Stegostoma tigrinum: one gene and its partner. The protein of the gene in region 1 purifies or fractionates together with the protein of each later gene. This does not show direct contact. Links are inferred from orthologs where the notes say so. Each region holds a gene or a part of one and is shown on either strand. Other genes may lie near its edges.

The links. The genes of interacting proteins can lie anywhere in the genome.
Region 2: the proteins of protein c-Fos-like (region 1) and stk40 purify together in Homo sapiens (affinity purification with mass spectrometry; 3 studies listed by BioGRID and IntAct, counting the BioPlex papers as one, with this or other methods). This does not show direct contact. The link is inferred for Stegostoma tigrinum from reciprocal best matches to the Homo sapiens genes FOS and STK40.

The regions. Positions count from the first base shown.
Region 1 is NC_081363.1:1,205,970-1,213,174, forward strand, and holds the start of protein c-Fos-like, read right to left. Parts: upstream 3,095-7,205; 5' UTR 3,023-3,094; coding exon 2,894-3,022; intron 646-2,893; coding exon 469-645; intron 241-468; coding exon 133-240; intron 1-132. UniProt on the Homo sapiens protein: Nuclear phosphoprotein which forms a tight but non-covalently linked complex with the JUN/AP-1 transcription factor. In the heterodimer, FOS and JUN/AP-1 basic regions each seems to interact with symmetrical DNA half sites.
Region 2 is NC_081377.1:7,207,388-7,215,434, forward strand, and holds the start of stk40 (serine/threonine-protein kinase 40), read right to left. Parts: upstream 3,032-8,047; 5' UTR 2,664-3,031; coding exon 2,661-2,663; intron 1,401-2,660; exon of another isoform or gene 1,054-1,400; intron 1-1,053. UniProt on the Homo sapiens protein: May be a negative regulator of NF-kappa-B and p53-mediated gene transcription.

The DNA.
Region 1 (7,205 bases):
GCGTCTGGGTCAGCACAGGCTCGATGGGCCGAACGGCCACTTTCCGCACCGTTGGGATTCTATGATTCGACTCCCCCCACCCCCATAACCGGCACTACCCCCCCCCCCCCACGGTCCCGGAGCCGCACTCACCGTCTGCAGGCTGTCGGTCAGCTCCCTCCTCCGGTTCCGGCATTTAGCTGCAGCCAGTTTGTTCCGCTCCCTCCGGACCTTGCGCTTCTCCTCATCCTCGGGGCTCAGCTGCAAAGTGGGGAGAGAGAGAGAGAGAGAGAGAGGGGGCGGGCGGTGAGACCCTGTTTCATAGACCGCAGCAAACATTATCCCCCACCGCTCCAGCCGAGCCTGCATCCCTCCGGATTGCCCCCCCCCCCCCACCCCCAGCTGAACGGCAGGTACAGTGCCCCCCCACGTCAGGGGCAGTACCACGCTTCCCGCCCCGCAAAGCCCCCTCCTTGGAGCCGGCCTCACCTGGTCAGTCTTGCCCCTGCGGCCGGGGCATTTGCTGCTGGCGGCCCGTGCCCTGTACGGGGCTCCGAGGCTGTACTCGTGCCTGGGCCGGGGGCTCAGGGTGGGCTGCACCATCCACTGCAGCTCGGGCCGGCGGCTCAGGGCCGTCAGACTGGGGGCGAGCTCGGAGCCAGGGTCCTGCAGAGAGAAAGAGAAACACATGAGACAGAGGCCGGGACACAGACAGACTTCACCCCCCCCCAGGGGGACAGAGAGAGAGAGACACACACACACCCCCCCCCCCCCCAAGGGCGACAGAGAGAGAGAGACACACACACACACCCCCCCCCCCCAAGGGCGACAGAGAGAGAGAGACACACACACACACCCCCCCCCCCCAAGGGGGACAGAGAGAGAGAGAGACACACACACACCCCCCCCCCCAAGGGGGACAGAGAGAGAGACACACACACACACACCCCCCCCCCCAAGGGGGACAGAGAGAGAGAGAGACACACACACACCCCCCCCCCCCCAAGGGGGACAGAGAGAGAGAGAGACACACACACACCCCCCCCCCCCAAGGGGGACAGAGAGAGAGAGACACACACACACCCCCCCCCCCCCCAAGGGGGACAGAGAGAGAGACACACACACACACACCCCCCCCCCCAAGGGGGACAGAGAGAGAGACACACACACACACACACCCCCCCCCCAAGGGGGACAGAGAGAGAGACACACACACACACCCCCCCCCCCAAGGGGGACAGAGAGAGAGACACACACACACACACCCCCCCCCCAAGGGGGACAGAGAGAGAGACACACACACACACACCCCCCCCCCAAGGGGGACAGAGAGAGAGACACACACACACACCCCCCCCCCCCCAAGGGGGACAGAGAGAGAGAGAGACACACACACACCCCCCCCCCCCCAAGGGGGACAGAGAGAGAGACACACACACACACACACACACACACACTCAGGCGCCCCCCCCCCCCGTGCGGGGATACCCCCCCTCCCCACCTCGGGGCCAAGATTGTTTTTGTGAATGGAGTTGACGTCACGGGGTTTATTAATAAAGCGGCGCTGATTGGTTCAGAGCGAGCGCATCACCAGCCCCAGACGTCACACTTTACGTGGATTCTCCCGGAACCAGAGAGAGCACAGCCCTCCCACCGCGGGACAAAATACATACCCCCCCCGATCCGTGTTTACCCCGCCAACCCCCCACCGATCCGTGTTTACCCCGCCAACCCCCCCCCCAGCGTCAGCGTCTACCCTACCCCGCCAACCCCCCCCCAGCGTCAGCGTCTACCCTACCCCGCCAACCCCCCCCCCCAGCGTCAGCCCTACCCCGCCAACCCCCCCCCCCAGCGTCAGCGTCTACCCTACCCCGCCAACCCCCCCCCCCAGCGTCAGCGTCTACCCTACCCCGCCAACCCCCCCCCCCAGCGTCAGCGTCTACCCTACCCCGCCAACCCCCCCCCCCAGCGTCAGCGTCTACCCTACCCCGCCAACCCCCCCCCCCAGCGTCAGCGTCTACCCTACCCCGCCAACCCCCCCCCCAGCGTCAGCGTCTACCCTACCCCGCCAACCCCCCCCCCCAGCGTCAGCGTCTACCCTACCCCGCCAACCCCCCCCCCCAGCGTCAGTGTCTACCCCGCTACCCCACCAACCCCCCAGCGTCAGTGTCTACCCCGCTACCCCACCAACCCCCCAGCGTCAGTGTCTACCCCGCTACCCCACCAACCCCCCAGCGTCAGTGTCTACCCCGCTACCCCACCAACCCCCCAGCGTCAGTGTCTACCCCGCTACCCCACCAACCCCCCAGCGTCAGTGTCTACCCCGCTACCCCACCAACCCCCCAGCGTCAGTGTCTACCCCGCTACCCCACCAACCCCCCAGCGTCAGTGTCTACCCCGCTACCCCACCAACCCCCCAGCGTCAGTGTCTACCCCGCTACCCCACCAACCCCCCAGCGTCAGTGTCTACCCCGCTACCCCACCAACCCCCCAGCGTCAGTGTCTACCCCGCTACCCCACCAACCCCCCAGCGTCAGTGTCTACCCCGCTACCCCACCAACCCCCCAGCGTCAGTGTCTACCCCGCTACCCCACCAACCCCCCAGCGTCAGTGTCTACCCCGCTACCCCACCAACCCCCCAGCGTCAGTGTCTACCCCGCTACCCCACCAACCCCCCAGCGTCAGTGTCTACCCCGCTACCCCACCAACCCCCCAGCGTCAGTGTTTACCCCGCCACCCCCACAGCGTCAACCCCACCAACCCCCCCGCCGTCAGTGTTCACCCCCCACCGTCAGTGTTCACCCCACCAACCCCCCCCAGCGTGGGTGTTTACCCCTCCAGTGTTTACCCCAGCACCCCCTGCCCCCCAGCATCAGTGTTTACCCCAGCCCCATCTAATCTCTCGGTCACTTACCGAGACGTGGGCCGGGCTGCCCAGGCTGGAGAAGGAGTCTGCGGGTGAGAAATAGAACGGATCGCCAATGGACGGCGAGTTGCTGCAGCGGGAAGCGGAGTCGTAGTCGGTGCTGAAAGCCTGGAACATTGTGCCGGGTCTCCGGGCTGCCTGTGTCCGCGCTATCTGCCTTTCCGTCCCGGTGCTGTTCGCTGTCTCTCTCCGGAGGGTTTGCTGTGTCAGGCTCGGACCCATCGCCTTTTATTGGATTTGCGGCGAATGACGCACCTGGACGGCTCCATCATGCATAGGTGAATAGGGGGGGCAGAGTCGTCCATGCAGACACTACAAACACTAGAGAGACAGGACAGAGAGGTTCCGGACGGTCAGAAGTAGCGGGAGTCTAAATCAGCTCCATTTCTCAGTCAACGGCCGCCTGAGCCTCGGGAACTGCCGGTTTCGCTTGGTCTTGTCAGTTCACCCAACCCACGCCGAATTGGTGCGGCCCAGCACCGGGAACCTACTGACGTAGATGCCCTTATTTGGAGTGAGGTCCGGAAAGCGGGATGCGCGGAGGGAGGGGGAGTGAGAGAGAGCCGGCGGCACAGCAAGATCCCAGGCTGCCAGCAGGGACACTGCAAAACAACAACAACAACAACCAGCTGGGCAGGAGCAGAAAGAAAACTGATGCCGCCTCTGTAGCTGGGAATTGCAGCCAGCCAGCATTCTGCCTCAGTGCCACATCTCTCTGTTTGTATGCCCTGTCCTCACATTTAACCCGGCTTCGTCACCCTGTCCCATCCGAATATTTATAACTTATTCTCAACTGCCTGTATGCAAAGTGTGAGAAATGCGCGGTGTAAGCTGCCTGCCTTGTACGGAACGATATCTTTGCTCCAGATCAGTTTTCATGCATCCACAGGATGTGGATGCCGCGAGCTTGGAGTAGGAGCTGCTGGCTTCTTGAATTGCTGCAGTCTGCGTGCTGTTGGTACATTCAGAATGCTGGGAGGGCATCCCAGGACTTTGACCCAGTGACAGTCAAGGAATGCCGATATATTTCCAAACCAGGATAATGTGCGGTTTGTGAAACCTTGCGATTCTCTCCGAGGGCTGGTAGTGTTGTCAAAGTAGGTATAAACACAGGGAGCTGTCCCTGCAGAAAAAAAAAAGCACTGTGCCTTATTTGAAATAACAACAGCATAAGTAAGGGTCAGGATAATAAAATGTGAGGCTGGATGAACACAGCAGGCCCAGCAGCATCTCAGGAGCACAAAAGCTGACGTTTCGGGCCTAGACCCTTCATCAGAGAGGATGAAGGGTCTAGGCCCGAAACGTCAGCTTTTGTGCTCCTGAGATGCTGCTTGGCCTGCTGTGTTCATCCAGCCTCACATTTTATTATCTTGGAATTCTCCAGCATCTGCAGTTCCCATTATCACAGCATAAGGGTCAGGTTTGCGCTCCTAAGATGCAGCTTGGCCGATTGTGTTCATCCAGCTCCACACTTTGTTATCCCTGTTGTCTATGCTTGACACCTCAACCAATTGAAGTCCAGAGGTCGAAGAATCAGCACACCTTTTCATGCAGTATAAATTATTTCCTCTGAAATTTGTTACTCTTGTCCCTGTCCTGATGTTCGAAAAAAGAAACTTTGACAGCATCTTTTATAGCAACATTCACACACAGGAATTATTCAGGCAGATGTCCAAAGCTTGGTCAGCGAGCATCATTTTGAGGACCATCTTAAAGGAGGATGGAGAGATGGTAACATTTAGGGATAGAATTCCAGACTTAATGTCCAGCTTTCTGAAGGCCCAATCACTGACTGAGGTTGTGTAAGTTCAGTTTTGAGATCTGCAGACATTGTGCAGCTGGAGGAGACTGTGAGGGCTGGATGGGGAGATGGATTTGAGAAGTCAAGGATGGATTTGAAAATAAAAATGCAAATAATTTTAAGATTGAACCTATGTTGAAGAAATATTCTTTGAAAATTAAACAACATTTTGATATATTTACAGTTCCTCGGATACTGAAGACGTCCATGCAGCAAAACATGGACAATATCAAGGCTGGGCTGTAAAGTGGAAAATAATATTCTCATCCAGGCAATGGCCAGAGAGAATACAACCATTGCTCCATGGCAGTCAATGGCAATGTCACCGCTGAATCCCCCATGAATGTGGGGCTACATTATAAAGGGTCAGGGAGAGACATGAATAACAGACAATAGGTGCAGGAGTAGGCCATTCAGCCCTTCAAGCCAGCGCCACCATTCATTATGATCATGGTTGATCATCCACAATCAATATCCTGTTCCTGCCTTATCCCCAAAACCCTTGATTCCACTATCTTTAAGAGCTCTGTCCATCTCTTTCTTAAAAGCATCCAGAGACTTTGGCCTCCACTGCCTTCTGGGGCAGAGCATTCCATATATCCACCACTCTCTGGGTGAAGAAGTTTTTCCTCAACTCTGTTCTAAATGGCCTACCCCTTATTTTTAAACTGTGTCCTCTGGTTCTGGACTCACACATCAGCGGAAACATGCATCCTGCCTCCAGAGTGTCCAATCCCTTAATAATCTTATATGTCTCAATCAGATCCCCTCTCATCCTTATAAGTTCAAGTGTATACAAGCCCAGTCGCTCCAATCTTTCAACATATGATAGCCCTGCCATTCCAGGAATTGACCTCGTGAACATACGCTGCACTCCCTCAATAGCAAGAATGTCCTTCCTCAAATTTGGAGACCAAAACTGCATACAATACTGCAGGTCAAGCACGATTTTCCCTTTGTAAATCCATGCTGACTCTGACCTATCCTGTTACTGCTATCCAAATGAGTCGTAATTTCATCTTTTATAATTGACTCCAGCATCTTTCCCACCACTGATGTCAGGCTAACCAGTTTATAATTCCCTGTTTTCTCTCTCCCTCCTTTCCTGAAAAGTGGGACAACATTAGCCACTCTCCAATCCCCAGGAACTGATCCTGAATCTCTTGAACATTGGAAAATGATTACCAACGCGTCCACAATTTCTAGAGTCACCTCCTTAAGTACCCTGGGATGCAGACCATCAGGTCCAGGGGACTTATCAGCCTTCAGAACAAACAGTCTGTCCAACACCATTTCCAGCCAAATATAAATTCCCTTCACTTCATCCATTACCCTAGGTCCTTCAGCCACTATTGTATCTGGGAGATTGCTTGTGTCTTCCTGAGTGAAGGCAGATCCAAAGTATCTATTCAGGTACAAACACAGAATGTAGAAGGAAAGCAGAAGAATGGTTCCAGGAATGAGAAACTTCACTGATAAGATAGATTGAAGAAATTGGGATTGTTAAGTTTTCAAAATCACAGGTAGAGTAGATAAGGAGAAGCTGTTGTCACCTGTAAAAGAAGAAAGCACAAAAGGGCACAGATTGCTGGATTCTGATGAAGTACCACAGGATTGGAAAACTGCCAGGTGACACTCACGATTCAAAAAGGGAGGGATGCAAAAAGCAGGTAACCATAGGCTGATTATCCTAACATCTATTGTTGGAAAACTAATGGTATCAATTATTTAGAAAGTAATAGCAGAACATTTGGTATTTGATGGTGTTAGGCAAGGACTCTAGAATTTTACCAACAACTGAGGTTAGGCTAATCAGCCTGACAAACCTGTTAGAATTCTTTGAAGAGGTAAGAAGTATGTTAGACCAGGGAAACCCAGTGGATGTTATCTATCTAGACTTCCAAAAGGCCTTTGATAAGGTGCCTCACAGGAGGCTGCTGAGCAAGGTGAGGGCCCATGGTGTTCAAGGTGAGCTACTGGCATGGATTGAGGGTTGGCTGTCTGACAGAAGGCAAAGAGTTGGGATAAAAGGTTTTTCGGAATGGCAACTGGTGACGAGTGGTGTCCCGCGGGATTCAGTATTGGGGCCGCAGCTGTTCGCCTTATATATTAATGATCTGGATGAAGGGTCTGGGGGCTTTCTGGCGAAGTTTGCCGATGATACGAAGATAGGTGGACAGGCAGGTAGCACTGAGGAGGTGGGGAAGTTGCAGAAAGATTTAGACGGTTTAGGAGAGTGGTCCAGGAAAGGCTGATGTGAATTCATTGTTGATTGGGGGTAGACGTCTGCAGGTAAAGGGATTGTTCGAAAATGGGAATCATTAAAAAATGAGGTAACAAGGGTCCAGAGACAGTATGTTCCTGTTAGGGTGAAGGGCAAGGCGGGTAGACGTAGGGAATGCTGGATGACTGGAGAAATTGAGTTTTTGGTCAAGAAAAATAAGGAAACATCAGGTATAGACAGCAGGGATCAAGTGAATCCCTAGAAGAATGTAAAGG
Region 2 (8,047 bases), on another chromosome or scaffold:
AAGCATCACAAGAGTAAAGCTGAGCCAGCAATCACTTATGGTCATGTGCTGCTCCACTGCATGCTTGAAATCCAAAGACATCAGACAGTGACACATGCCCATGTCTCCAAAATTGAAATCTATCCTTTCAGCAAATGCAAGTGATTCAAAGCCAACACTTTCCTGATGTTAAATCAACATCAAGGCTCAGAGTTGTCCAGGATTATTCTAACAGGTGCCATACCATCACAGCCGTGCACCTGTGAACTACACACTGGATGAGGATGGGGATGAGCGAGAGCAAGAGAGACTTCAATGACACTGCAAAGGTGTGACATAAATCCAAACAACAAACAAATTTCAAATCTACAATTAAGATGAAGGAATAAAGATACTCCTTCCAACAAAAGTCTTTGTTACAGGCTTTATGTAAAGGATGTGGCAACAGTGGGGGTGGTTGAATAGAAGGATGAGAAAATGATAAGAGATAATGGATTCTCCAGCATCTGCAGATCCCATGATAAAGTGTGAAGCTGGATGAACACAGCAAGCCATGCAGCATCTCAGGGGCACAAAAGCTGACGTTTCAGGCCCGAAACATCAGCTTTTGTGCTCTTGAGATGCTGCTTGGCCTGCTGTGTTCATCCAGCCTCACACTTTATTATCTGGGAAAATGATGTTTGGTTGGGGAGGGGGTGAGCAGGAGTGAGGAGAGCAGGGCACATGTGCAAGGGATGCCAGGGTACCTACAGAAGATAAACAGGGGGGGCAACAGGGAGCCGACAGAGGGGTAACATGAGAGACTGTAGATGATCAGGGAGACATACACAGAAACAACAGGGGATCAGAGGCATATGGGGGGGCAGGGTAGGGGATGCCAAGAGCAAGGGAACTGGGGATCGGTGGGCCAGGATTCATACGAAAGTGTTGGGGGGAGGGAGGAGAGAAGTGGAAGGCTAGGAGAAGCAGAGAGTACCCGGGGGCGGGGGGTCGTCACCCTCCGACCCCTTTCCCCGCTTCTTCATCACCACCACCATCCCCATCACTCGGGCCCACCCCAAGCCACTCACTCACCCCGTGTGCCGGCTCCGACTCCCCTAAAGCCGCTCTCCGCCTCTCATCGCCAGGGGATCGCCTGCGCTGCGTCGCCGCACCAACCTCACTCGGACAGGGGGCAGGCTTTTTGTGTTCTCTCTCTCTCCCCCGTCCGCAACGTAAACCCGGTGCAAACGTTGGCAGCGGTGGGGCCTGGGGGAACGCTGCAGGGATTCCTATTTACACCTGGCTAGAGTGGATGGTGGAAACCATCGTGCGACAGCCCGAAGCCGGCGGGACGACGCGACACTAAGAGCCGCAGCCTCAATCTCCATCCCGCCCCAGGAGCCTCGCCTTTGCCCAGGCCATAAGCAGGGGGCGGGGAATATCACTTGACAACGGAAATGACGCACGGCCCATCGCCGGGACCTCCCGCGCCCTGCCTTGATGAACAGACGGCAAGCAGCAGCTCACAGCCAATCGCAAACCGATACTCATACTGGGGCGGGGCTAGCCTGGATGCCAGCTCATTCCGTCGCTGTCCATCATCGCGATTGACAGCCCTATCTACCAATCAGAGCCGACACTGAAGAAAGGCACGCGGCCTCCCTGGAAGAGGTGTCCAGTGCTTTCACAACATAATTTTGCAGCATGAACCATAATCGTTAGGTTTTAAATCTTAAATGCATTCATTTATCTGCAGGTGCAACATTTCAAAGTTTAAAACCATCGCATCCATCACCCTTGGGACCTTGCTGATAGTGCAAGCAGGTTGTTTCAGCAAGGTGGAAGATGTCATTTGACAGTAGTGCTTTCAGTGGAACCTGAATGTTGACCGAATTAATTGCACCTCTTACTGCATTAGACTCTGCAGCTGCAAGAGTTATTGTTGGGGGCAAAAAAAAATTCGGCTGCATCAGCAGAACTTTGGAAGTTTTGCAGCGTGAGCCTATCAGCTTGCCGCTCTGCTTTAAATCAAAGTCAGGACCTTTAATCCAGCATAATTTAATTTTTATTGCCCGGATCACTGACATTGCCAACTGATTAAAAACATGTGCCTTCGCAAGTGCCACTTCTCGACTTTACTTGTGATTAAACAACGACAGCCAAGTTACTATATGTTTGTGAAACACTGCTTTTACAATGGAGGCGACTTCTCGACAACCTGTCACAGAAAAATATCTTCCAGAGGAACAGGAAGAGCCCACACATAGTATTACTTGACAAATCCACGTACATCCCAAACCTGAGGAACGGTAACTCGACCCGAAACGTTAACTCTGATTTCTCTCCAGAGATGCTGCCAGACAGAGATTTTACAGCAATTTCTATTTTTGTCTCTACATCCCAATCCCCCTTTTCAAAAAAAAAGTAAAGCACCGTAAATTTTCTTGACATCATAACTGAAATCAAATCCTTGCGTTAACCAGCAAGTGCTGGGAGAGGATAAAATTGAAAACACATGGCTTTGATCGACACTAGACCAGAAAGTCAGTATTTCCAATTACTCCTGAGAGCTCAAAAAGCCTTGCAATTTATAAATAAATCATGCCGAATTTAGAGACGGCGGTGATATTTACAGACTAGTCAAATTTCCCCCCTCCCACACAGCCCGATGTAAGGTGAAACAGTTTTGCTGTACGTACCATCGCAGTCTCTCCTCCCGCCAGCTATATTAGGTACAAAACTCAGTCAAATCTTGAATAGCCGTTCCAATCAGACTGCTGTCGCTGACCCCCGCATTCTGAAGTAGCTGGAAGGTCGCAGAGCTATTTTTTTCGTCGAATGAATCCGATCACATTTCCTCTCTTTAAAAAAAAGGTCCTCCCCTTCCCTGCTGCTACAATTGCTTCCTTCTCCCAGGTAGGTGCAAAGCGCAGACACAGACAGGCAGGTTAGAGCCAACCAACAGACCATTTGCCCTCTGAGCAAATTAATAACTGTGCGCAGCTCCAGCCAATCCAATCACCTCTGATATCATAAACCGTGCCCTCTTGCTGAAGCAGATATATCAAATCTCTCGCCATTCGATAAAACAGGAGTTTAATAAAGGAAACATGTTTGGACTTTAAAACAGGCTGTGACAGCATGAAGATACAGCCGAGAGGAGAGGTGTGCCAACGCATTTAACAGCAAAACGTCAAAAGTGCAGATTCGTCTCAAATGTGAATAGCGGTTAAAAAAAAACTGGGAGGACTGAGTCACAAATGGTTGTGACTATCAATCATTCTTGAGAAGGCGCTGCCATTAGCCAAACTGAGGTGCGTGCAGTAACTGAAAAGGAATCTGCATTTATATGTTACCCTTAATATGGTCAAATATACCCAGGTGCTTCACAGGAGTGTTATCAGTTAAAATTGAGAGCTGAACGGACTCGGTGGGCCAAATGGCCTCAATTCTGTGACATAATCCTGTTCCGATCCTATGATTGGCCTGCAATAAGGACAGGCAACAAAAAGCTTCACAGACCAGACCAACTACAGGGGTCAACTTTATGCAGCATCTAAATAGAGGAGAGAGAGGTTGAGAGTCGTGTTCAGAGTATGGGTAGAGGCAGCTGAAGGTATGGCCATCACTGGCGACTTGATAGAACATGTAAGGGGCTAACATTTGAGGGAAGTTATAAGCTGGAAGCAGGACAGAATAAAAGCAACTTTTAAATAGTCCTTTAAATACAGGAGATAACAGTAAAGCACGAAAAGAAACAGGACTCAGCATTTCAGCCTCTTAAACCTGCAATGAATGTCATTAAATTAGATCAAGCTCATCTCAGAATCACAGCATTATTATAGTGGAAAATGAAGCTGTTTGGCCCATTGTGTCTGTACTGGTTCTATTACCAAATGCCAATCTGCTGCCTTTTCTGTAGCTCTGTACACCATTTCTATCCAAATTACCATCCACTGCCCTTGTGAATGCCTCAATTTGTATTTTTGCTGAATTTAACTTCCTTACACATGCTTATTGAATAAAAATAACCACTGTTAACATTTTAAATTCACATCATGTCGGTACTGTCAATCTGATAGAAATGTTAGATTTTTCAGTACCCTTTCGGGTTCTGAAGACGGGTCACTGGACCTGAAACATTAACTTTGCTTTCTTTCCACAGATGCTGCCAGATCTCCTGAGATTTTTCAGCAACTTCTGCTTTCTGAATACTCTGCTCCCCACCATTTCCAAGATAAATATATCCTTCCTGAAATAATATTTGGAGTACACAAGGCACTTCTTAAGACCTTTCCTGCTGCATATGCTTTTTAACATCTGACAAAAGGTCATTGTGGGGAAGTCTGAGCTTGTGCACTTTGGCAGGAAGAACAGAGGAACAGAGGAGCTGAATATTACTTAAATGGAAAAGGGCTACAGAAGGCTGCAGCACAGAGAGATTTTGAAGTCCGCATGCATAAATCTCAAAAAGCTGACGGGGAAGGCAACTGGAATGTTGGCTTTTATTTCAAAGACAATGGAGTTCAAAATATGGAAGTCTTGCTAAAACTGTTCAGGGCTCTAGTTAGGCCACACCTGCAATATTGTGAACAGTTTTGGACCCCACATCTAAGGAATGCTGCACTCTGTAGCTTTGAGTGATTTATGCAGAAGGACTTTCAAATCCCTCTGTGCTACAGCTTTTGGCAGCCTTTTTCCATTTAAATCATATTCAGCTCCTCTATTCCTCTGTTCTTCCTGCCAAAGTACATAAAATCACATTTCCCCATGCTGACCTTTGGTCAGAAGATATTAAAGATACACCAGCATTGGATGCAGTCTGGAGAAGACTCTCTAAGTTGATTCTGGATATGAAGGGATTGTCTTGTGAGGAGATTTTGAGTAGGTTTGTAGTCCTTGGCATTTAGAAGAATGAGAGGTGTCCTTATTGAAACATGCAAGGTTCTTCGGCAACTTGTCAGGGTGGATGCAAAGAGATTGTTTTCCTTGTGGGAGATTCAAGGATCAGATGGCGAAATCTCAGGGTAAAGGGTTGCCTGGTTATGACAGAGATGAGGAGGAAGTTTTTCTCTCGGAGAATAGTGAACATGTGGAATTCTTTGTTGCAGAGGTCTGTAGAGTCTGGGTCACTCAGTATATTCATGGCTGAGAAAGGCAGACCTTTAAGCAGTAAGTGAATCATGGGTTAAGGGAAAAAGGCAGGAAAGTGGAACTGATGGTTGTCCAATCAGCCATGGTCTCACTGAATGGTGGATCAGATGCAGAAGGCCAAATGGCTTGCTTCTGCTTCTATGCCTTGTGGTCTAATGTACCTCTGTTTCTCTCTCTACAGGTTCTAACAGACCTGCTGAGTAGAACATAGAAGATAGGAGCAGCAGTCGGCCATTCTACCCCTCAAGTATGCTCTGCCATTCATTATGATCATAGCTGATCATGAGCTCAACACCCTAATCCCACCTTCCTACTCAATATCCATTGACCCCTTCGGCCACAAGAGCCATTTCTACATCCTTCTTGAAAACACATAATTTTTTCAGCCTCAATCACAGGCTCACCACTCTCTGAGTTTAGAAATTTCTCCTTAACAATCTTCCAATATCCATAAACTATGACCCCTGCTTCTGGACCACCCCCCCCCCCCCCCCCCCCACCATAAGAGACATCCTTCCTGTTCTAGTCTGTCTAGTACTGTTAGAATTTTATGGGTTTCTGTGAATATCCAACCTCATTAAGGGGAGGTGATGGCTTAGTGGTGTTATCACCAAGCTATTAAACTCATGTTCTGGGTACCTGGGTCTGAGTGAAACCGTTGTCATTTGTTGGACAACCATTTGATTCAATAATGTCGTTCAGGGAAACAAATCTGTCATCTTCACCTGGTCTGGCTTGTGTGTGACTTCAGCAGCATAGTTGACTCTCAGCTGCCCTCTGAAATGGCCTAGTAAGCCACTCCGTTCTATCAAACACAGCAACGTCTCAACAAAGAAATAAAATTGGATGGACAACCTGACATCAACCTAGACATGAGAAAAGACAACAGCAGAAACAGGATTTGAGCCCAAAAGGTCCTCCTTACTAACATCCTGGGGCTAGTGCCAAAATTGGGAAAACTGCAACAGCCTAATATATCCATACTCATGGACTCATAACTTACAATGTCCCTGACACCACCATTACCATCCATGGATATGCCCTGTCCCACTTGTAGGACAGACCCCAGCAGAGATGGCAGCACAGTGGGATATAGTCGGAAGGGAGTTGCCCTGGAGTTCTCAACAAGTCTCATAGCTTCAGGTTAAACATGGATAAGGAAACCTCCTGCTGATATCATGTATCACTTGATTTGATTTGATTTATTGCATTCACTGTACCTCAGGACAGTGAAAAGTTTTGTTTTGCAAGCAGTACAGACAGGTCATAGCAAACAAGGACATATAGATCATAGGTTGCTTAGACAGAGCGAGACATACAGGTTACGACTGCCTCCTTTGGCTGGTGAATCAGTGTTTCTCCATGTTGAACAATTCATGGAGGAAGCACCGAGGGCACAAAATATACTCTGGGTGAGGAATTCCAATGTCTTCCACAGAATGTGGCTCTACTGATCAAGCTGTATGGGTCCTAAAGGACATAGCTGTTAGTCTGGGTCTGTGGCAGGTGGTGAGGGAGCCAGGAGGGACAAACGTACTTGATCTCATCCTCACAAATCTGCTGGCTGCAGATGTATCTGTCCATGAGCATATCGGTGAGTGACCACCACACAGTCCCCGTGGAGACAAAGTCCTACCATACCACTGAGATTATCCTCCATAATGCCATTAGGGAGGCAATTCCAGGATTTTGAACCAGCAGCAGTGAAGGAACTGCATCATATTTCCAAGTCAGGATGTTGAGTGACTTGGAGGTTGCAGCTTTTTAAGATGGCAGCTCACCATCATCTTCTCAAGGACAACTAGGGATAGGCAATAAATGCCAGTGTGCCCACATTCCATAAGTGAATATAAAAAAATCGTCTGAACTCCAGTGAATACAATCCTAACTTAATTGCTCCTCATGTGTCAGTCCTGCCATCCCAGGAATCAACTTCGTAAACCTTCAGTGCATACTGTCGAAAGCAAGAATCTCCTTCCTCAGATAAGGAGACCAAAACTGCACATAATATTCCAGGTGTGGCCTTGCCAAAGCCCTGTATAATTGCTAACATAGACGTTACCTTCCTTACTGCCTGCACACTTACTTTCAATGACTGATGCAAGAGGACATCCGAGTCTTGTCGAACATTCCCCTCTCTCAATTTATAACCATTCAAATAATAATCTGCCTTCTATTTTTGCTACCAACCTCACATTTATGATACAGCACCTGCCATACATTTGCCCACTCAGTCAGCCTGTCCAAATCACATTGAAACATCTCTGCATCATCTTCACAGTTCACCTTTCCACCCAGCTTTGTCTCATCTGCAAATTTAGAGATATTACATTTAGTTCCATCATCTAAATCATTAACATATATTGTGCATAGGTGGGGTCCTCGTACTGAACCCTGTGCTACCCCACTAGTCACTACCTGTTATTCAGAAAAAGACCCATAAATTCCTATTCTTTCCAGTCTGCTAACCAATTTTCGAACCTCTCAATACACTAATCCCAATTCAATACACCTTACTTTTACACTTTAGTCTCTTATGTGGGATTTTGTCAAAAGTCTTCTGAGAGTCCAAAAGCATCACATCCATTAGCTCCCCATGATAAACTCTGCTAGTTACGTTGTTGAAGAATTCAGGTAGATTTGTTTAGCATTATTTCCCTTTTATAAATCCACACTAACTGTGTCCGATTCTACCACTATCTTATAGGGGCTCTGCTATAAAATCCTTGATAATGCAGTCTTCCCCACAATCCATATTAGACTACTGGTCTTTAATTCCCTGTTTTCTTTCTATCTCTGTTTTAAATAGTGAGATTACATTCACTACCCTCCAGTCTGTAGGAAATGTTCCAGAGTCTAAAGAATCTTGGGATGACCACCAATACATCCATTATTTTTAGGGCCACTTCCTTTAGTACTCTGAAATGTAGAT